Linked DNA regions of Rhinolophus ferrumequinum. The protein of the gene in region 1 purifies or fractionates together with the protein of each later gene. This does not show direct contact. Links are inferred from orthologs where the notes say so. Each region holds a gene or a part of one and is shown in the gene's direction. Other genes may lie near its edges.

Region 1 (7,385 bases):
CCTTTCAGTTCAAGAAGGCAAACGTTTTCTCTAAAGGGCCACACAGTAAATACTCTCAGCGTTGCAAGCTATACAGTCTGTCCCAACTCTGTCCTTGCAGCAAAAGCAGCCATAGACTGACTGGAAACTAAACAAACCCAATAAATGTGTCTATGTTCCAATAAAACTTTATTTATTAAAAATAGGTAAAGCAGATTAGGCCTGGAGGGTGCAGTTTAGTCTAGTCCAATGTTTTCCAAATGGTGATCCATCAGCATTTGTTAAAAATCTGAAGTCTCAGGCCCTGCCCCACACCTGCCAGTCAGAAACTTGAGGATGGGGCCAGCACTGTTTTAACAAGCCCTCTGGGAGAGTCCGCTGCGTGCTCAAGTTTGGGAACCACTGCTAGCCTTCCTGATTGCCCACATTGGACTCTCCTATTATATAAAGTATGAACTACGACGGTAATTGATATGTCCCACTTCATTAGAAAGCCTTCCTCACCCATCTTCTTCCCCCGTCATGCTCTCTCTCCTGCTCTGGAGTTCCTGCTCTAATATCCTGGGGGCTTATGCAACCCAGTCCTAGTACTCTGTTGCCATTTCTGCTACCTTGCTGCCCCAAACCCAGCTTCCGCGTCCCACCAGCTAAGTCTCGGCTGCCCTCTCGAATTCCGCAGCACCTCCAGGTAACATGCTCGCACAGCTACCACTTCCAAAGCACCCCTACTCTTGGGCACTGGCAGGGATGAGGGGGCTTCCAGTCTCTGCCAAATGCTACAGAACCAACCCTCTCCCTCTCCACCCTACCATTTCCCTGTGCTACCCTCATCCCCATGTCCTGACCCCAGAATGAGTGACAATTCTTTCAAGTTCTTGCAGGGGAAAAAAAGCAATCCCTTTCCCACATTAATATTCTATAATGGTCTGCCCAACCACCAACTCCACCGTCTTCGGCTATTTTATTCTACAGTAGAAATAGAAAAGCTGAGACCATGAAGTTTGCTTTGGAAAGGTAATAACACATTTTGTCCTCTCCCCTTCCTCTTACAGTGCTTTGAACCCCACCTAAGAGTGTGTTTTGTTATAGAAGAGTGAACTTCCAAAGTTTAACTGGGCTTTGGATTGATGAAGAGTCCTTTAGAAAATGATACTCGTCAGTCTTGATTATGAAAGGCTGGGCCTATGGCCTGGTTTGGCTAGGGATGCCCTGGAGTGGGAGGTCTTGGAATGTGAGGGAAAGGAAACAAACAAGTGTGCCTAACACGCAGATGGGATCTCTGGGGTTAGGAGAGCATCATACTGTAAACCAATGTTTGACTTTCACTGGATTAGCCGTCAGGAACAGGGTTTGGATTGGATGGGGGGTGGGGGGGCTGGACTGTAGAAAAAAAAGGAAATCACAGGAGCCAGATACTTGGCAGGAATCTGTTGCCCAAGGATACAAATGGCTACCACAGTGATTGCCATAATTACTCACCACTGTTCCACTCATTCCCAAAGTGTTCGTAAAGTTTGTTTAACTGTCACCTTAGCATCAGATTTAGGAAATAAAATGAGAGCTTGATCACATTCAGGAAGAAGGTATTTGATCCTTGTTAGGATGTTCTGAAGTCAGACATACATACAGTCGGGCAGGGGAGCAATGGTAATTGTTTTTGGAGAACTCATCTCTTCCATACCCTCACTATTGTCAATTATATTACTCTTTCTAAAGAAACAGAGAGAACAAAGCAAAGATGTCACTGGTAGGAAACGATGACTGCTTAATAGCTTTTTTTTTTTTAAGGTTTAAATGTATTCTATTCCCCCTGCCCAGGTATTCACAATACTCATCCTTAGTACCTGTCTTCAGGTATAAAGAAAAGCACCTTTGAACAGCCACAGCAGTAAAGATCGGTGACCCTGGTTCTTTTCAATGCAACCAGAGTGTTTTCTAAGGGTAGTAAATTGTTCAAGTTACACTATATCCAGTATATGTATACCCAGTGTAACTTGGACTCATAAACACAAATATGTCATTTCTTTTAGGTTGTTATTCAATAAGGCAGTTAAAGTACATTTTATAAAATAAATTGTGAATAAGTTATAATCAATTCTCACCTTATTACATTTTAGAAAATATTTACTATTTTCTGTATGCTGTTCACACACATAAAATTATTTTCCAGTCACTGAACCAATTAATTTTTAGCAGCAATACCTTATTGTTTCATTATTTTTTAAGTTTGATCATTACACCTAATTAAATTTGTGGAGTTTTGCTGAATTTTTATGGAAGATTCTTATTTAGTTATTCCCAAAAAGCCAAATCAGATACATCTATATGCACTGAAAAAATACCATGCTCTTTATACTACACTTAATAAATAACATACATTTAGCAAAATATTGTATTATGTTGTTGGTAATTAGGTAAAGGCAACATGTCATATTCTCACATTGTTTTCATAACTAATTTTTAAAATGAATAAAACAATTATATCTTACACCATTTTAATCTTGATTGCTTTAGTAATAAATCTTTTAAGATTCATTCCCTGACTTTGACTTTCTGCAGTTTTCATTATATTCCCTCAAAATGCATGATGCTTTATTTGAATTGAAACAAGGAAGTCAAACTGTTTCTGAGGGAAAATAATATCCAATTTGGCTAGTTTGATGATGAACACGCACTCTGTTAATTAGGTTATATGAAAAACATTTTTCATACTTGACAGTTTCACACTGAATGAGCTGCAAAGTTTTGGCAAAAACAAAAATGAACCAGCTAACAACAAAAAGCAATTTATCCAAAACTATTTATGAAAATCAAGAAAGAATGTTTAGATTCCCCCAAAGTGTGAGTATATCAGGTTTAACGTGGTACAGCTCATTGGGAAAAAAAAGTCTAAATCATAGTCATTTGATGTCTTGATAAAACCTATTTAGTATATTTCCCAGAAACTGAAAAAATGAAAGAATATGACTAGGTAAACAAATCCTTTGGCAAGTCAGATGGTTTTCAACTCTTCACTTTCAACAAAATTGGAGGGCCTAATTGAATAGCCAGCTCACAGATCATCAAATCTAATTTTTTGAGGTCAAGAATTGAGTGACATTGCTACGATAAAACTATATTGCCAGGTACAATACATGCTTATAAGCACAGGGTTTCTAGGGGCATTCAGCTATAAAAACTAGAAAGAGGAATAAACTGATGTACAACCCTTCTCCTTCTAGCAATAAGAAGACATACTCATCTACAGACATGAATTTTAAAAAGCAGTAATATCCACTTCACTGAGATGCATTTCCAATCAATTTTACATCTACTTAATAATTATGAAAATCTGTAACATTTATTTTGCTTTGATCGTGTACCAATAATGCTTTAAAGGTAACTCAGTCCAGAATCAGGTGATTTGCTTTCTGTGTAGCCTTCAGCAATTTACTTAATCTCTCCGGGCTTCAGTGTCCGGCTCTGCAAATTGGGGCTAGTAGCAGGACTTAGCAGTCTTGTTGCAAAGCCTGGATGAGTAAACGCATGTAAAAGGTCTTAACACCATGCCTGGCGCACAGTGCGTGCTATACAAGCACGGCCTATTATCACAGTAACCAACTGCAAAAGCCTTAGACCTAAAAGCCCGTGGGTTTGTCTGGGCCGGCGGGAAGGTGCTCGGACAGGGACAAGGGATGCGCCAAGGACAAATGGGGAAGAGACTGTGGGCCGTTGGAGCTACCTATTCGCAGGAACACCGTACAGGATCACAGGAGAACAAAGAGGGTTGGGAGAGTTTAGAACACGCAGTTTCACGTACGCATTATAAATGTCTATGGCTGTCGACTGCTCTGTGAAAGGAGCAACAGGCCTAAACGCCACTGACGATGGACCCGGGCCAGCGTGTCGCTGCCCCGCGCGGGCCGGCTCCGAGCCGGCGCCCAGGCGGCCCTCGGGCCCGGGGAGTCGCGCCGGTCGAACGCCCGACCGCGGTGCACTCCAGACGCCGGCCCCCGGCCCAGACCCCGCGAGCCACCGCCCGCTCGGCCTCCCCGCCGCCGCTCCCGACGCAACCCGGCCTCTCGAGGGCGCCCGCGCAGGCGGCAGGCGGAACTGGCCCCTCGCGGCTTCCGTCGTCGGACTTTCGTGGCTATTGTCGCCGCCTCTTCCTTCCTTCTTTCCCCCGGTTCCCTTTCACTTCCGGGGTTGCTCTGGATCCGCTGGTTCCGTAACAACATCCCGTTGGCCTCCCTCGGGCGGCGGGACCGGTGCAGCCGCCGCCTCCCAGGAGCGCCCGCCGGCCGGGCCCGCGCCCTTCCCGGCCCAGGCCGCCATGGCCACCAACCCGCAGCCGAAGCCGCCTCCGGCGCCGCCGCCTCCCCCGCCGCAGCCGCAGCCGCCGCCGCCGCCGCCGGGCCCCGGGGCTGGCCCGGGCGCGGGCGGGGCGGGCGGCACGGGGGCCGGCGCCGGGGACCCGCAGCTCGTGGCCATGATCGTGAACCACCTCAAGAGCCAGGGGCTCTTCGACCAGTTCCGCAGGGACTGCCTGGCCGACGTGGACACCAAGGTGCGGGGCGCGCGCGGGGTGCGGGGGTGCGGGGCGAGGGGAGGACGGCCCGGGCCGCCGCCTCCGGCAGTCTCCCGCGTCCGAGGAAGGGCCCGCTGCGCCGCGGCCTCCCCGGCCGGGGCCGCCCCTGAGCCGCCGCGTGCCCTCCGAGCTGCCGCTCTGTGCCGCGTGCGGGGTCGGCGCGGCGCGCGCCGGCGTTCCCCGTCCTTCCCCGCGGTGGCCGCCGAGTGCCCGGCCCCGCGGGCGCTGGGAGCGTCCGGGTGAGCAAGACCGAGCCGTTTGTTCTCACGGAGACGCGTCTGCACACACTTACCGGTGCGTTCACGTCTGGTTCTGGGTTTTTTTGTGTTTTTCCCCCCCGCGGTGTACTCTGTTTCCACGCTCCTCTCTTGAAGATTTCTGTGCGGTAAGCGTCATACCTTTGTCCTTTGGAGAATTATTAAGTGGTCATCGAATCAAAGTGTTCGCAGTGTGCGTTGCTGGATTGGGGGCGCGGGGGGGAGTCGTTGCAAAAGATAAGGAGGTAGAGTTGGACCGCGCGCGAGAAGGTGGGTTGGGGAGATCGGGACTTCTGTTTCTCCCAGTGACCGTCTGATTTAGGTAACTTAGACCAAGTCAGTTCTCTAAAGGGAGAAGGGAGTGGGGCGGGGGACAGAGAGCCGGAACCTAGCCATGCAGTGGGGAAAGGACGGAGGAGAGGTGACAGCAGATGACACAGTGGACGAAGGACAGGAAAAGAGGAGTTCAGGAGGGGAAAGAGGAAAGGACAAAGGTCTGCAAAGTGGTTCCCTGTACAAAAGAGTTAGGGGCTGGGAAAGAGGAGGGACTTAGCACCAAATGTCAGGGTAAAAGGGGTGTCAGCAGGAACCAGGTCACTCTAGCTGGTTGGGCAAAGGATGAGCAGAGGACACCAAAAAGGAGCAGTCTTGGTGAGATGGATGGAAAACCAATGGAGCCTGGAATTCTGGAAGCAAGTGAGGCAGGAAGCTTCAGTTGGAAACACTTGGGAAATTGTTGGGGCTTTTTGTTTGTTTGGGTTGGGGAGGTGCGTTGTTTTGGCTTAGATCTGGTTGGGTCCATTGGGTGGGAGTTTTGATGGGTGAGGGTTTTCTCATAGCATGTTTGACCGTTGTGAGGATCCTCGTTTCTTAGAGATTGGGATGTTTGCATTGTCCACCAGTTCTTCCCTGTGACTCTGTTCACCAGGCTTTGAGTGAACTGCGTAAAATTCTGCTGCGTCCTCTGGGAAAACCTCCATGAAAATCTAGGGACATGTTTCCTTATTAGGACTCACCCCCCACCCAGGTACACCAGAAGTACAATGGCCTTTTCAAAGCATTGGAGTTTTTGCACCAGAAAGAATTCAGTTTACTTGGGATATTTATCTCCACAGGAAGTATACAGTTTTCTCACTTTGTTTTAGGGAGTATGCACAGCCACGCTTTTTTGAAAATAATGCTGATTGCGTTTTTTTAATGGGAGAGGATTAGACATGGCCAGCTAAATGTTATCCAGATAAAGCTGGTTATTTGTATCCTGCAAGTACATGTTTCACTTTACTAGTCTCATGAATCTACGAGTCTGTGTGTTAATGTATATAAATTGAAAATTTATACAATTATAAGGCTCAGCTTTTGGGGAGGAGGGAACACAGTTTCTTTGACTGTGTAATGAAAACCAGGACCTTCTCTCAAGAAAAGTGCACATACGTATATTAAACATGCTGTTTTTATAATTCAGAAACGGTCGGCTGTCAGCAATTTGATGTGGATCAACCTAATGAATAGTTTCAGGGAACACAGAGTAAGGTCCCCTTTTTTAATGTTCGAAGCTAGAAGAGAAGTGAAATGATCACCCCCTCCCCAACAGAGTGGGACTCCTGGGTATGGTCTCATGTTCTCGCTCAATAAAAGTAAGTTTGAATGTCTCAAAAAACATCAAAGCCCAAGTTGTCTTTGATATGAGCTTAACGTTTCTATCAGTGTGATGCATGGGCCAGAGTAGAAATAAGAGTCCCTATTCGTGCAAAGAAGCATCACTTGAATGGAATCCTTGGGTCTCATCTGTTAAGAACACCTCAGAGTTTAGACTGCTTGTGTATGCCTTTGATATTGAACCCTGAAGACTGACCTGTGTTATGTAGTGTGTCGGGTTGTAGCGGGAACTGGATTGTCAGTCACATGCATAGTTAAGAATTAAGACATCTGACACCCACCAGACACTCTCCAAGAGCAGCACCGTCATCCTGCCCAGTGTGGTAAAGCAGAGTGAGAAGGACCAGAGTCTGCTGCCACTCCAGCAGACCATAGGACCCCTCAAAGTGCCCCGGGAGAGAGATCCAACGAGAGCAGACCAAATCAGCCCTTCTACCCATAGAATTGGAACCTGGGGCAGCCCCAGAATCTAACCAGTGCCGCAGGCTGCTGTGCTGCAGGCTCCCGTTCCCAGACCCCTGGAGCAAGCTGACAGGTTACAAAGCCATCCTGACCCCTTTGCACCAATTAGCACCTGGAGAGTGTGGGGAGGGAAGGTCGAGTGGCCCATCACTCTGTCCCAGGCAGGGAGCTCACCGAACAGGTAACTATGGCACCTCTGTCCCCAGGCAATAATTTTCTTTTTAGATTTGAAAGGAATATCAAAGACAGGAGTATACAAATTTATTCACCCAACAAATATTTATGATGTACCTGGCACTATTAGATGCCAGGAGTACAGCAGGGAACTAAAAGTTCCTGCTGTTACAGGGCTTACATCCCAGCCGAGCAAAACAGACAATAAATAATGCGTGACAGGTCCTATGGAAGAAATAAAGCAGGACGAGGGTGGAAAGGATTGCCAGTTGGTTTTGAGTGAGTTCAGG
Region 2 (7,288 bases), on another chromosome or scaffold:
AAGTATCAGGCTGGTAGTGCTTCTGTGTTTATCATCTTTCTATTATCGAATGAAGTAGGTACCGTTACTATGGCCATTTTACAGGTGAGAAAGCAGGATCAGAGATGTTAAGACACCTGCCCAGGGTCCCACAGCAAGTAAGTGGCAGTATTGGAACTTAAGCAGTCTGGTTCTAGAGTCCAAATTTATACAAGTTTAGAACAGGATCATCAAATGTTTGCAAGGGCCAGGCCTGTAATATGGATACCAAGTTGGCTGTGTGGGGCCTGAGGATATATGTGACCTGTCCCAAGGCAGCAGCTGTGACTCAACTCTAGCTGCTAGTGTCCACGCCGGAATATGGGCCTGGTGTAACCAGGTCTGTCAGATTTTCTGGAGGATCTGGAAATAGGAATATTTATATGAAATCTCTTGAGTTTTAAAAGTTGGCAACTTAATTCTTTAAGAAACACACTGGATGAGCCAAGAAAAACATGTCTGCAAGCTGGCTTGAATTCATAGCGTGCCAGTTTGCAAACTCTGGCCTTGCACTTCGGCACTGGCTCCAATAATCACCGAAACACCTAGTGCTGACTCGTGCCTTGCACTATTCTGATAACTTGATGTATATACCATCAGTCAGTTTTCACAACGACCCTGTAAGGCAGGTAGGTACTGGTATTAATCCCCATTTTCCAGAGGAGGAAACTGATGCACAGAGAGAGAACTAAGTCACTTGCTCAACACAACACCGCTTGTGGACCTGAGAAGGGACCCAGGCAGCCTAGCTCCAGAACCTGTGCTTTTTAACCCGTGTGTGGTAACGAGGTAAGATCGTCAGAAACATGTCACCCAGCCCTCTTGATAGCTCGGTGGGAGAACCCAGACCCAGAACAGGCCAGAGCCTTGCCAAGGCTGCCCCTTCAGGCACTCAACAAAGGCTGGGAGCCTTGTTTCCTCCCGCCAGCCACCATTCTAGGGCCTAAGGCCACGTAAGGGATATGCGCCAGCAGGCAGATCCCACTATGTGGAGAAGGTTACGAGCGCTGAGTCCGTGGTCTCTTGTCCCCACAGGTGGCCATGGTGGAGGTACAGCTGGAGAACAACTACCAATACCCGCCAGGCCTGCTGGTGGCCTTCAGTGCCTGCACCACTGTGCTGGTGGCGGTTCACCTCTTTGCCCTCATGGTCTCCACGTGTCTGCTGCCCCACATTGAAGCTGTCAGCAACATCCACAACCTCAACTCTGTCCACCAGTCTCCACACCAGCGACTCCACCGCTATGTGGAGCTGGCCTGGGGCTTCTCCACTGCCCTGGGCACCTTCCTCTTCCTTGCTGAAGTTGTCCTGGTGGGCTGGGTCAAGTTCGTGCCCATTGGGGCCCCCGTGGGCACGCCTGCCCCCGTGGTACCACCCTCCCACGTGCCTGGGACTCTGCCACCCGTGGCCACCTCCCTTAGTCCCGCTTCCAAGCCATCCTCTGCTCCTGTGACCCCGCCACAGGCTGAGACGTCTGAGGCCTGCCCACCCCGGCAGGTCTGTGGCGGCGGGGCCCATGGACCAGGCTGGCAAGCAGCCATGGCCTCCACAGCAATCATGGTACCCGTAGGGCTTGTGTTTGTGGCTTTTGCTCTGCATTTCTACCGCTCCCTGGTGGCACACAAGACAGACCGCCACATGCAGGAGCTAGAGGAGCTGAGTCGCCTGCAGGGGGAGCTGCAGGCTGTGTGAGGCTGGTATGGCCACCTCTACAAACACTGCCTCCCTCCGGGTTCAACCACAGATCCCAGGTCTGCCGACCGCTGCCCTGACTCTGCCTGGAGCCACTTCCTGAGGCCACTCTCAGGTAGAGACCAGATTCCTGCCAGCAGGGTCCTGTGGGCGGGGCCTTGGAGCAGCTCCCACATTCCAAGGGATTCTCCCTGTCAGCTTGCTCCATGGGCTTTGTAAGTTCTGCTCTATACTGGCTTGGAGGAGCGAGTGAAAAGTGCTCAGTCCAGGCTCCTGGGATAGGTGGAGGGGAGGCAGGGAGACCCTGGTCAGACCTTTGGTGCTGACCCTTAGCTACTTCTTGCCCCTATACAAGACGTAGCAGTCCGGTATAGGACACACCCTCCCAGCTGCCCAGAAGGCAGCAAACCCTGGCTTTTATTATTTTTGTAGAATCTATTTTGTGGTTACCATTTATTGGGAAGCTTTTTCCCATCCCCAGATTTTGATGGGTTCCACACTCTTGCTGTAGCTGCTGTAGAGAGGGGTTTGGGCGTTTCTGCCCTGGCATAGGTCCAGCCTCTCCTAGAAGGAGCCTCCCTGTTTTTGGAGGTTCAAGCGCCTGTCCAACTTCCCTAGACCCACACTGGATGCTTCTATAACTGGTTCTCACTCTTCTGTGCCAGGATTGGGGGTGGAGGGCACGGGGGTCTTTGGAGACCGAGGGCCTGTGAGCCCCAGACTGACTGCCTTATCAAGGGTTGGGGTGAGGTTTTAAAGGAGAAGGTCCAGCCCCTCCCGAGCCTTTGGTATCCTGACACTGAATTTTTGATGCACCTTGTTTTGTATAATAAATTGTATTTCACAGATGTCCCTGTGGCTCTGAGTGGGGTGAAGGGGAGGTCTCTTGGGATCGGGCGACTTGTTCCCAAAAGCCCAGCAGAGGCCAGTGTACCTGGGGGCGGGGCACGGCTGGGGGAGAGTGGGTTCCAGGTGTGAACCCTTCCTGGTGCTGACGGGCCGGTAGCTTCTGCAGGTGGAGACTGAGTTATTCCAAGGCAAAGGGCTTTGGCACGCTGGTTCCCGAGCCCAGGTGCTCTCTCTTCCACTGAGGATTTAGTATAAGTTTCTTTCTTGAGTGACTGCTACCTATGAGGAGCTTTTAGGTTATCTCCTTGAGACCTCACCTCCATCGCGAGACGTCTTTCTTGTTTCCATTTCCAAGGTAAGGACGCTGAGGCCCGAGACTCAGGCTTGTGCCCAGAGCCACACAGCCAGTCAGTGAAAACTAGGACTACTTTGACCCTCACATGGGGAATCTCTGATTTGAGAAAAGGAGCCCCTACCTTTCCACTGGGACAAGAAAAAGGGATATGATCTCATCACACGTGCTTCCACGTAAATGAATTGTTTCCAGCTTCGTTTCCCTCAAATATTTAAAGCGTCCCAATCCTCTCTCTTCCATTCTTAGGGTGTGAGGTCTTGAGAACAAGTCTCCTTTGCTCTTTTCCTGTTACTTAAAATGGTGAATTTGCATGCACCAGGCTTCTGGGGCTTTTCCTGTGCTGTTCTGATACCTGCGGTAGTCCTGCGTGACGGGGATTAATGTCCATTTCAGAGGAAGACTCTGAAGCTTTGAGAAGTCATACAGCAAGAGCTGTATATAGAGATGTCTGGGTCTTAGGGCAGAGGTGCCTCCTGGGAATGCCATTATCTGGAGACGGGACACCCTGCATCCAAGAGAGGGTGACCAGCGTCAGGGCGGGCTTAGCCCCGGATCCCCGGTGTAAGCTTGTGCTGGTGCTGCCCTCCAGCGGCGGGACCGCGTAAGCATAGGCACCCCCCCCACCACCACCACCGGCTGAAAACGGCGGGCACTGGGACCGTGATGCCTGGAGAGTCGACAAGCCCACCCTAGTTCCCGTAAAACCTAGTTTAATTCTTACAGGACCCACTTAAGGGCCTTTAGGTCGCACCAAGTTTACCACAGAACTTTAAGACAGCCTCGGATTTAAGCACCAACGGTGAGCCGAGCAGGGGAAAATGTGGCACCTTCTGCAGGCCTCAGTCTCCCCATCTGTCAAGTGGGCACGTTAAACTGCGAGAGGCCCAAGAGGGATAACGGGAGGAAACCGCTCCCTGCATTACGCGAGGCGCCAGGGAAACGGCCTGAGTCACCGCCGTTCGTTGTATTTTTTCACCTCCCGGGAGCCCCTCCCACCCCGCCCCGTTTCGGTGGGTCCTACAGGAAGCGCCCCCGCGACGCCGGCCTCGGTACGCTCTGACCACGCCCTCTGCGCACGACGCCTTGGCTCCGCCCACAGGAGAATTCGCAGATTCGCTAGGCCGGTTCCTCAGAATTACTCAGGCCTCTGGGCTCGACCGAAAATTCTCATGGGACTCGGAGAGGAGCTTTGGGCCGTATTTATCTCCCCCGGGTCGGAACTGGGCAGTTCCCCGAGCTGTGCTAGTGAGAAAGATCCATAAAAAGTGGCCGACTCTTGCCAACAGGGCTTGGCTAACCAGGCATTCTTTTCTTGACTCCACCAAGGCGGGGAAAGGGAGGAAACAGCTGGGGCCGGGACCTGTGGCGAATCTGCAGCCTCTTAGACTTTTGGCCGCGCAAGGAAGGGGCAGGCAAGAGGAGCGAAAGAGCGCGCGTCCCGTCCACCCATTCGCCCCGCCCGCCTGACGAATCTGCGCCCGTTCAACGCACCACTCCTCTCCCCGACTCGGGCTGGCCTCCTCCCCTCCGCCCCGCCCCCTTTTCCTCAGGGATTAGTCGCTGCTTTCGTCGCCGCCGATTCGTCAACGACCCCAGGCCCGAGCAGCTGGATAGCCGTGGAGAAACCCACTCTCCGGGGGATGCGGCCCGTCTCCAGGCTCCCTGGGCCGCAATTCTCGACCCTTACAGGGCGCCGGCCGAGGCGAAACCGCTATCCTCGGCACCGTGGGTCTCCCGGTGGCGCCCGTGGCGAAAGTGCGAATGTGGACACTGTGCCCGCTGGGCCTCGCGCAGGTGGCGGTGGTGTTTGGTGCGCGCGCCGGGGAGGTGGTGGTGGGGGGGCGCCGCCGCCGCCGCCACCGCTGCGGGGCCGGGTCTCGCGCTGCCGCCGCAGCCGCCGCCTCGCGCCACTAAGGTGCTGCGCGGGGTGGGGGGAGGGGGAGCCGCTCGACACGAGCGGGTGAGTGGGGCCGCGCCGCGCGTGCGCGGAGATGGGGGGGGCAGAAAGCGCCGGGGCGGGAGGAGAGGGCAGCGGCGCGCGTTCCTGCCACCTCCCTGCTCCGATTCGGGGCCGAAGCCGGGGCTCGGGCTCGGTCTCGCGGTGTTTCCAACGCCCCGAATAGGTGCCACCTCTTGGCTGGAGGATCGGGGCGCGGGGACGCGAGCGGGTGTGTGGGAGCGGGAGCCGGGCTTGGCCCGGGCCGCTGGCCGGTGAGGAGGCGGGAGGGGGCGGGGCCTGCCAGGGGGCGGGGGAGGGGTCTTGCGCCGAGGCCAAGTGGGGCGCGCGCTGGGGAGAGCCGGGGCGCGAGATGGGCCTGGGGTCCGCGAAGAGAGTTGGGAGGTGGAGAGAGAATGGGGTGTCGTGGCGAAAGTGTGCTTGGGGGGACATCGGGGGCCGCCACGGGTCATGGGGAGGTGGGGAAACTGGGGTGATGCGAGGACCCCGAGTCTGGGCTGGTCGGTGAGGGGCAGCAAGGGAGGCAAGCCTGAGACCTGACCCCGCGCCCCCCTCTTTGCGTGTCCCTCTGTCCTCACAGTGTAAATGAGCAAAGATGGATCAGGAAGGTGGGGGAGATGGGCAGAAGGCCCCGAGCTTCCAGTGGAGGAACTACAAGCTCATCGTGGATCCTGCCTTGGACCCTGCCCTGCGCAGGCCCTCGCAAAAGGTGTACCGCTACGATGGAGTCCACTTCAGTGTCAACGTGAGTGCCCCGGGCCGCTCCTTGCCAGCCGGGGAACTCGGCCCCACTCTCCGGTTAGCTCTGTGCAGCCCCCAGAACGTCTGTGCCCATAACCTGCTGGCTTAAAAAGTGGGTACCCAGCAGCCAGCTCTTGCAGAGGGGTCTCCGGAGGGGCTTCTTCGCGCTCCATAATGTGGTTTCACATCGTGTGCTTTCTATCCCTGCTTTCCTTTCTAGGACTCAAAGTATATACCGGTCGAAGACCTCCAAGACCCCCGTTGCCACGTCAGGTCCAAAAACAGAGACTTTTCCCTCCCAGTCCCTAAATTTAAGGTATGTGTCTGCTGGTGTCCTGGTGTGGTGGCCTTTGGAGGGGGTGGGGGTCCGTCCTCGCTGTCTGGCCGTACTGTAGCCAATAAAAGGGAGTTTTCCGATGAAAGGGTCTCAGCCAGGTCTAGCAGTGTCTGAAGCTGTGAGGGGATTGTTCTAGACAGGAGGTGTGGTTCACATTCTAGAAAGGTATAGGTGAGGGGTCCCAAGCAGGAGTGTCGACTTCTTGAAGGATATTATAAAGACAGGCTCAGTTGCTCTCCCTGTCACTCTGTATTCTAGACAGTGCACAGCTTGACAGTGCCCTGGTGTGATACCCCAGGTTCTCAACGGTTAAGGGGACTGTCAAGGCCAGGAACCCCATCCCTGGAGTCCTCTGTGCCTCACCCTTCATTTGGCCATTGGATCCTCCATCACGTTTCCTCAAAGATTCCCATTTTCCTGACCAGGCAGGATACTCCACAGGCTGGGCTTAGAAAACTGGTGGTTCTTAGTTTCCTTCACTAACTCTTTCTTCTTCTTCGTTTGTAAGTAAATCGTGTGTTGGGTTCTCTCACCCCTCTTTTTTTAAGTTCGTACACTTTGCCTGGACAATCTCTTTCACACCCATGAGTTTGACTATTGCTGAAATGTCCATGACTTCCAAATCTCGGTTTCCAGATGAGATCAGTCTCTAGAATTCCAGACATAGGTGCCTGGGAGTGGGACAGCTCCACCTGGAGGCCCCACGGCCGTCTCAGACTCGAAAGCAAATTCCCTTTCCCCCTTTAATCCTGCTCTCCCTTCCATCTACTCAGCTGCACAAGTTAGACACCCGGGAACCATTCTGTGATTCTCCTTTCATTTATCACATCATCTGTAACAAAGTTCTGCTGACTCTTTTTCCTAAACGTATATTTTTACCTTAATAATTCCACTTCATTGCTATTTCTGTAATGTAGACTCGTGTTCATTTCATTTCACCTGGTTTCCTTGCCTCCTTTCTCCATTTTATGCTCCGCTGTGCTGTCATTTTGTCTTTTTTATTTCACTATTCTCTGAGTTTACTCCGGTTGCCAAGTCTGTGTTCTTGCGTATTGATACATATGACTGACACACCTCCGCCTTTGCCACTGCGTACCTGTGTTCCATACACTTTGCAATTTCCAGGAAATGCTAAGTTATTTTCTACCCAGTGCCTTCTGAGTGCTTGTCCTGGTGGTGAACTCCTGCTTGTCCAAAACGCCCAGGATGAGTGACACCATCTCCATGCAATCTTCCCTGCCTCCCACTCTGAACAGAGGTCTCCTCCTGTGGGCTCCTGTACGCTCTGTCTGCATCTCTGCCAGCGCGTCCTGTGTCCTGTTAGCATTGTGTGTGTCTT
Region 3 (8,175 bases), on another chromosome or scaffold:
AACTCAGGCAACCCCCCAAAGATTCTTAGTCACCCAAGAATACCAGAGCAAAAGCCAGTGAAAGCTTACTGGACGTAACCAGAACTGTGGCACTTTTCCAGGCACACACCCCTTTCTTGGGGTGAATCCACTCCAGAGTGCCCTGCCCTTCTCCCCGTGTGGCTCCCACTGGTTTCTCTGGGATATGCTGTATTACCACACTGGACTGTTTGTGGCAACTATCTCTGCTACTCTGAAACAACTATCATCACCCCATTTGCTGCGGCCCGCAGCGGCCAGGAGGGCTCAGCCTGAGGGGGAAGGGCGAGGAGACGTGGAGACAGGAAAGCTGGGATCGGGAGGTCCACCATCCACGGATGGTGGAGCAGTGGCGCAGTCTTTATTTCACACACGGTTTATATACAGTCTTAGAACAATTGTCTACACAAGCAACTATTAGCAGAACAAGCAGGTATCAGTAGAACATTCTGTTTTGTGTATTGGCAAGTTTGTGTGTCTGTGGCTGCATTAGTGTTATCTTGTACTTTCTGGGAAGATGTTGAGGCAAGGCTTCCCATGGGAGTGACCTTGAGGCTGCAAGGCCCTTGTCAGCTTACAGCCTGCCCCCTACACCCATTGGCTAGGGAAGGTTAGGGAAGAAAATGTCCTTTCTTTTTTGGAGCTAAAGAGAATTTAGTCTCGGGCGGCTGGTTGGCTCAGTTGGTTAGAGTGCAGTGCTCATAACACCAAGGTCAGCGGTTTGAGTCCCACATGGGCCAGTGAGCTGTGCCCTCCACAACTAGATTGAAAACGACGACTTGACATGGAGTTGATGGGTCCTGGAAAAACACACTGTTCCCCAATATTACCCAATTTAAAAAAAAAGTTCAGTCTCTCATTTAACCAGCAAAGATTCTGTTCAGACTCTCAGTAAGTAATCCAATTAAAAAGCTGAAATTAAAAGCCGCCCCCCATTATTTCTTCTTTCCCTGGGTTGTCTTGACCCTTATCCACTTCAAAGATTTTCAAAGAACAATTCAAATTAAGTCAGGATCCGCTACCTAAAGCAAGGAGGCCCAGGATTCCAAGAGAAAACTCACTCAAGTTCACTGGAGGTGAAGAGGGGAGCCGATGGGCCTTTGCTTGTACCTCGCACTGGGCCTGAGTCAACAGGGTGGTCCTGGGGACCACCTGCTTCAAAATCCTGCCGACTGCTCCAAGTAACTGTCAACGTAAGAAACATCCAAACCTGTAAAGAATTTTTATAAGAATTTATTTAAGCCAAACTGATAATTGCCAGGAAGCAAAATCTCTAATGCTTTGGAGAGTAACAGTTTTGCAGTTTCTTTTATGCATTTGAATTAAAGAGGCAACATGAGGAGATTACATGAAGGCAGGAAAAAGCAAGTTGGGGATAGGATTACAGGATAGTTAAGATTATGTGCTCTCTTGAAGGTGGCTAAGCTTATTTCAAAGATGTGTTAACCTAGATGTACAAAAACAATGGACAGGGCTTGCTTAAGACAAATCTTTTACTAAAGAAGTTATATGACTGGGGTGTGACTACCCATCAGGACCTGCCCAGTTAGGAATTTGTGATCAGATCTCCCTGTGGGATTACTTTCTGTAGGACCCCTTTTTGTCCACAATGTCAATCAATCAACAATATCCAACAGTACTTCATTAATACTAATCTTTGTGCTATAGAAAATAAGTTCTCAAAGTGTTGTCTGTGGACCCCTTGGGATACCTGAGATATTCTCAGGTGGGTTGCAAGGTCAAACCTTTTCATAATATTAGGACTTTTTTTCTTTCTCACCACATTAATATTTGTACCAAAAGCGGTAAAATCAATGGTTGTTAAAACTGCAGGCACATTAGCACATATCTAGGCAGTTGCTCTAAACTGCACTAGTATTAACCACATTGCTTACCACACACACACAATATCCAGTCCCATTTAAGAATATCTTTGATGAAGCAATAAAATTAGCAAAAAAATTGCTAATTTTATTAAATCTCAACCCTTGAAATGACATCTTTTTTTTTTCCCAGGTGGGAACCACAAGTTTATTGGGGGCTCTATGCACGCGCACTGAAGGCGTCACACGACAATTGCTATCTTTCCAGTTGTGAAAGAATTCTCGAGGCACATAGAAATGCAGAAAGAAGATTTATTGAAGTAAAAAAGGAGGAAGAGTCAGCTGGGCAGAGTCTAGAGTAGACAGCTGCAGCAGGGGTTTTATATTTTTCTAGCAGGATGTAGGGTTTTATATTTTTCTATGCAGTCTGCAGGGATTTTATATTTTTCTATGCAGGATGTAGGGTGTCTGTCAGCTTGCAGTGGGTTGCCGTTGTAATTGTCTTCTGGGAACTGTTCTGTTCCCATCTATGATAGATGTAAGTTGCTTGTCAGCTTGCAGGATAGTGCCGTTACAGTTGGCTTCCCTTGGGAATCATTCTCTTTCCACAGCTAGCCTCCAGGGGATTCAGAGCCCAGTGGTTAATTTTTAAGCTCATTCCTGCTAACTCACAAGCTCGTTCCTGTTAACTCTTTACCTGTCTCATCATGGAAATTGGTTTGTTTGGCATCTCGGACAGTGATCACGGTTTGCACCTCCTCGATCAACTTCTGTTTCTCATCATCATCAAACTGCATGTACCATTTGGCCAGGCATATCTTGCCTGCCCTGTTCTGGATGAGGATGAAGCAGATTGTGATCACTCGGATTCAGAGCCCAGCTGCCCTGATCCCGAGGCGACTGAGCAGCTCCCAATACATCTATCATTTTAATATTACGTGTGATGAAATGAGCAGCATGAAGCACTACTGCATACCACAGTGGAAGGGTTGTTTTGAGGAAAAGTACTTCTATGATGGTTTGAGTTGTGAGCTGAACTAACCACTTTTTTTCATGGAACATCATTTTTATCTGAAAGAACAAGTTATTTAGATTTGTTATTTTGGCAGACATTTAAAAAAATATGAACCAAGAGAGACCATCACTTCAAATAAAACAATTGATGGTATTTGTTACCAATGATAAAATTAGAACTTTCATACACATGATCATTGCCAACAATATGCACAACTGCCCGATTCAGCTATGCATGGTCAAGTGGTAATAGCACATTTGAGTCTCCCACCCTGCTCTTATTTGCCACTGATAGCAAATAAGGTAGTAGCACAATTTCCCAGAGGTATGCATGGGAGGATAAAAGAAGAGCTAGGAAGGTTAATAATGTGCTTTGGATCTTAGAGCCAGTTAGGGTCTCTTAATACCTTCCCCAAACAATAGGTTGAATATTCTATCAAATTGGAGGTTCGCTTCTTGGAATTGGCACATTACTATGTATTTTACTATGAGCTTTACTGGAAGCAGAGTTTTGATCGCTCATTTATCTAGTTTCTCTTTTAAAAGTCCATTCCACTCAAATCAATAATCTAGAGTTCCAACGTAAATAAAAGGGAAGCAAATTAAACCCAAAGCAGAAGGAAGTCATAGTAAAGATTAAAGTGGACATTAATGAAATAGGGATGAGAAAAACAATGAAACAAAGAATTAATCCTTGGAAAATATTAAAAACCTCTTTTAAGAAGAGAAGGTCACAGAACCTATGTAGTGGCCCCTTTGTCTATGTGTCTGTGACACTGTGGAGAGGACAATGAAGAAAAATGTTAGGAAAGGTGGGGGTAAAAAATCGGACCTCCTAAGCCACTAGCAGCAGAATCCTCAGTAGCAAATAAGTTGCTACTACCTCCAGAGCCAAGAAATCCAGAAAAACTGTCAGCAAATGGTAAAAAATCCCATTTTCTCCAGACTCTTCTTCTCAATCCAAAATGAAGTCCTGACTTTGAATGTGGACGTTTACTATGACGGTGATTCCCGCTCTAGTGTGTTTGGGGGGTGATGTTTGGAGGGAGAGGAATATGGTTATAAGTGGGGAATATATAATGACCCAGACATGTTGTATTTCATTTAACCTTCACTGTCCTCCAGTTTAGAGCATTACTCTGAGGAGACGTCTAGCTCTCTGACCTGCACAGATTTTCTTTATTGTACACGATTTAAATTTTAAAAAGTTAATTTACCTTTATTGAAGCGACTGTTGGAGAGGTATGAAATGAGAACCAAAGTGGACACCACCAGGAACCAGGCAAATCTACATTCTGACAGTGGCGGGGTGAGGGGATGATTTGGTGAAGCCGTTTGTCTCTGATTTCAAAATCTGCTTCGGTCCGGCTACTTCTCACCAAAGATGGTCAGGCCACCATCGTTTATGGCCTTCCATTTTACTCGGGACTAATTCTGCGGGGTGAGAGTGCTCTTGCAACGGTCCAGCGACTGAACCGTGCAAGGGCTGGTTAAGGAACTGCAAGGAACACGAGCAGGAAAGAGTGGCGGGAAGTGACGTGGAAAACCTAATAGTGGGATTGCTTTCCTTCGCAGCGCAAGACATTGTGCCGGAGCCCCATTAACACATGCGGAAAGGAAAAGTGATTAAATGGCGAAACGAGTGCGACTGGATCCAAGTAGTGTTATTAGGAGCGGCCGCTTTCCCTGTGAACTTCTCTGCAGTGTGAACTTCTCTGCAGTAGAAGGTACAGGCGTACGGAATCGACCTTCAAGATAGCGGCGCCCGGTGAAAGCCACGAATAGGTCGCTGCCATGTGCTGCCTGGGAACGTACGGACTCGGCCATCTTACGGAATCACATTCCAAGATGATGGCGTCTGCATAGAAGTCGTTCAGTAGGCGCGGCCATATTGCCTCCAACTTTGAGACCGTACAAGCGGTCACCGTACGGACTCGCCCAACAAGGTGGCGGCGCCCACAAGTAAGCGCGCTCAGGCACGGCCATGTTTCCTGCGAAACGTATGGACTCGGCCGCCAAACGGCCTCGGTAGTCAAAATGGCGGCGCCTAGGAGACAGTCCGGGCTCTAGGCTGGCGACCACTTGTTTGTTTATGGAGCCGATGCGCTGGGCCTGCGCAATAGGAGTACGGTGCCCGGGAGGCGCAATCAGAAGCGGAAGTAGTTGTGGGCACCTTTGCAACCGCCGCGGACACCGTAGAGTGGTGTAGGTTCGCGGGTCGCTGGCGGGGACCGCGAAGGAGTGCGCAGAGAGTCGAGAGATGGTGAGTACGGGGTCCCGGGAGAGGGTTGGCGGTAGAGGTTAGTGGGTTTGGTAATGGTGGGGTCCTTCGGCAGACGCGTGGGGGGTCTGTGGTGAACCGTAACTGGAGTCTGGGCAGAATTGAGGGGGCCTGTGGAGAGCCTTAACAGGGTTCTCTGGGAGGAATGATGACTGTCGGATGGTCTGATGGTTTTTCTGATACGTGAGCCATGTGGGAATTTTGTGATGAGCCATTGTGGGTGTCCGTAATAGAAGTTTAGTGAGGAACCCTGATGGTAGTTCCTTGGGAGTCCGAATGGGGGATTCTTTGGGCAGAGTGATAAAGAGTTTGCGATGAGCCATGTTAGGTAGTCTGTAGTGCACCGTGGTGACTCTGTATCAAGGAGTCCATGGGGAACCAGGATGGGGGCGAGGGTGACTGTGGGGTTAATAACGCGGGATGTGTGGGGAGCTGTGATGCGAAGGCTGTAGCTGAATTACGAGATGTTTGTGAGAACGCGTTGTGGGCCGGGTCTGTGAGGAGCCACAGTGGGGGCAGTGTGTGGCGAGCGGTAGGGTGTTTGTAACGAGCTTTTATGAATGTGTGGCTAGGATGATGGGGTGTCAGCGAGGTAAGTATGGGAGGTCTGGGGCTGAGCAATGGGGGTTTATAAGCAGAGTAATGGGGTGTCAGGGGTGATTGATGTGGGGGTCTGTGGGGACCATGACGGAGGGATTTATGAGGCGCCAAGATGGGAATTCTGTTGGCAGAGTGTTGGGGTCTATGGTGAGCCCTGGTGAAATTATAATGGAGGGAGAAGATGCTATGATGGGGGTCCTCTAAGAAGCCATAATTGGGGGGATCCCACAGGAGGGTGACGGTTCAGATCCAGAGCCTCCAGATGCTGGAGAGGACAGCAAGTCGGAGAATGGGGAGAATGCACCCATCTACTGCATCTGCCGCAAACCAGACATCAACTGCTTCATGATGTGAGCCAGGGAGAGGTGGGCGGGACTGACAGCTGGCAAGGTTGGGTGAGGCCGATGGGTCCCGCCCCTCACATCTGCACCACTCGCCTCATCCTCTGCAGTGGGTGTGACAACTGCAATGAGTGGTTCCATGGGGACTGCATCCGGATCACTGAGAAGATGGCCAAGGCCATCCGGGAATGGTACTGTCGGGAGTGCCGAGGTGAGGGGCGCGTGGAATGGACTGGGTAAGCAGGTGGGGCTTTGAGGGAGGAGAAGGAGCCATAATGGGAGGCTGGGTCTCAGGGAATAGTGATACGTGTCTGTGGGCAGAGTGATTGTTCTGTAGTGAGCAATAATAGAGAGTCACACTGGAGGGGGCAGCTGTACTCTGGAGTAGGGGGACAGACCATTGGGTGGGACAGGAAAGAAGAGGGAAAAAGAGTTCTGGGATAACCCAAATCCCCAATGTCAGCCTCCCCGGCCTCATCCTCTGTTCTACAGAGAAAGACCCCAAGCTGGAGATCCGCTATCGGCACAAGAAGTCACGGGAACGGGACAGCAATGAGCGAGACGGCAGTGAGCCCCGGGATGAGGGTGGAGGGCGCAAGAGGCCTGCCCCGGATCCAGACCTGCAGCGCCGGGCGGGGTCAGGGACAGGGGTTGGGGCCATGCTTGCTCGGGGCTCTGCTTCGCCCCACAAATCCTCTCCACAGCCCTTGGTGGCCACACCCAGCCAGGTGAGTGGCTGTGGTGGCAGGGATAAGTAAGGTGATCCCATCTCAGGCCCAACTTGGGTTCCTGACTTGTGTTCTGGGCCCCTTCCTTCAGCATCACCAGCAGCAGCAGCAGCAGATCAAACGGTCAGCCCGCATGTGTGGCGAGTGCGAGGCCTGCCGACGTACTGAAGACTGTGGCCACTGTGACTTCTGCCGGGACATGAAGAAGTTTGGGGGCCCCAACAAGATCCGGCAGAAGTGCCGGCTGCGTCAGTGCCAGCTTCGGGCCCGGGTGAGCATGGGCAGAGCTGGGCAGGGTCAGGTTAGGGGGCCAGTGTGTTCAGGAAGAGCTCATTGAGCCTAGGATGGGTGGGCTAGGTGGGGTGGGGCCTAACTGCATAGAGACAGGTGGAAAGGAGCCAGGCTTGTCCAGGTGAATGGGGCTTGGCCAGGTGTGCTGGGCTAGCAGGGGAGACCCCCAAACCCAGGAAGTCAGGGTAGGGCCAGATGTTTCTAGGTCGTCAGACATGTCAGAGCAGGAGGAACATGGCTCAGCATGTCCTAGTGATGAGGGGTGGGGGGGCAGGTGTGCCTGGGTAGGCAAGGTAGGGGCTGGTTGGGGGGGCCAGGCACTTGTGGGAAAGGCTAGGGCAGGGCCACCCTCCATCCACCTGGGGCTGACCTGGGCCTTCTCCTGCCGGCACAGGAATCGTACAAGTACTTCCCTTCGGTGAGTCCAGCCCCCAGGGCGGGGCGGGGCATGCGGGCAGGTTATTCAGGGCCAGTCCTGAGATTCTGCCCTGCAGCTCTCGCCAGTGACGCCCTCAGAGTCCCTGCCAAGGCCTCGCCGGCCACTGCCCACCCAGCAGCAGCCACAGCCATCACAGAAGCTGGGACGCATCCGTGAAGACGAGGGGTCAGTGGCGTCATCCGCGGTCAAGGAGCCACCTGAGGCTACGGCCACACCTGAGCCACTCTCAGATGAGGACCTACCACTGGACCCTGACCTCTACCAGGACTTCTGTGCGGGAGCCTTTGATGACCACGGCCTGGTGAGCAGGCAGAGCCACCCAGGGTGGAAGGGGGGAGGTTACAGAAGCAGAGTATCCATAATGAGGAGAGAGGAGGCAGATGGTATGGAAGGCTATTTGGGAACTGAGTAGGTGGTGGGGAAGTCATGAGTGGGGCAGGTGGGTCACTGTATGCTTCACTTGCAGCCCTGGATGAGTGACACAGAAGAGTCCCCATTCCTGGACCCTGCGCTGCGGAAGAGGGCAGTGAAAGTGAAGCATGTGAAGCGTCGGGAGAAGAAATCTGAGAAGAAGGTGATGGAGAGGGTGAAAAGGATGTGGGAAGGAAGAGGGCACGGGCTGAATGGGGCGAGAGCCAGA

What was found.
Region 2: the proteins of BOD1L1 (region 1) and SETD1A purify together in Homo sapiens (affinity purification with mass spectrometry; 3 studies listed by BioGRID and IntAct, with this or other methods). This does not show direct contact. The link is inferred for Rhinolophus ferrumequinum from reciprocal best matches to the Homo sapiens genes BOD1L1 and SETD1A.
Region 3: the proteins of BOD1L1 (region 1) and CXXC1 purify together in Homo sapiens (affinity purification with mass spectrometry; 5 studies listed by BioGRID and IntAct, counting the BioPlex papers as one, with this or other methods). This does not show direct contact. The link is inferred for Rhinolophus ferrumequinum from reciprocal best matches to the Homo sapiens genes BOD1L1 and CXXC1.

Annotation. Positions count from the first base shown.
Region 1 is NC_046288.1:80,190,200-80,197,584, forward strand, and holds the start of BOD1L1 (biorientation of chromosomes in cell division protein 1-like 1), read left to right. Parts: upstream 1-4,175; 5' UTR 4,176-4,291; coding exon 4,292-4,525; intron 4,526-7,385. UniProt on the Homo sapiens protein: Component of the fork protection machinery required to protect stalled/damaged replication forks from uncontrolled DNA2-dependent resection.
Region 2 is NW_022680357.1:380,684-387,971, reverse strand, and holds the start of SETD1A (histone-lysine N-methyltransferase SETD1A), read left to right. Parts: upstream 1-4,040; 5' UTR 4,041-4,708; intron 4,709-4,753; exon of another isoform or gene 4,754-4,874; intron 4,875-4,968; exon of another isoform or gene 4,969-5,125; intron 5,126-5,451; 5' UTR 5,452-5,466; coding exon 5,467-5,616; intron 5,617-5,832; coding exon 5,833-5,928; intron 5,929-7,288. Other genes in the region: ORAI3 (protein orai-3), read left to right, coding at 1,054-1,710. UniProt on the Homo sapiens protein: Histone methyltransferase that catalyzes methyl group transfer from S-adenosyl-L-methionine to the epsilon-amino group of 'Lys-4' of histone H3 (H3K4) via a non-processive mechanism.
Region 3 is NC_046302.1:41,097,434-41,105,608, reverse strand, and holds the start of CXXC1 (CXXC-type zinc finger protein 1), read left to right. Parts: upstream 1-4,893; 5' UTR 4,894-5,115; coding exon 5,116-5,118; intron 5,119-5,967; coding exon 5,968-6,086; intron 6,087-6,187; coding exon 6,188-6,288; intron 6,289-6,569; coding exon 6,570-6,805; intron 6,806-6,896; coding exon 6,897-7,076; intron 7,077-7,490; coding exon 7,491-7,514; intron 7,515-7,590; coding exon 7,591-7,836; intron 7,837-8,001; coding exon 8,002-8,109; intron 8,110-8,175. UniProt on the Homo sapiens protein: Transcriptional activator that exhibits a unique DNA binding specificity for CpG unmethylated motifs with a preference for CpGG.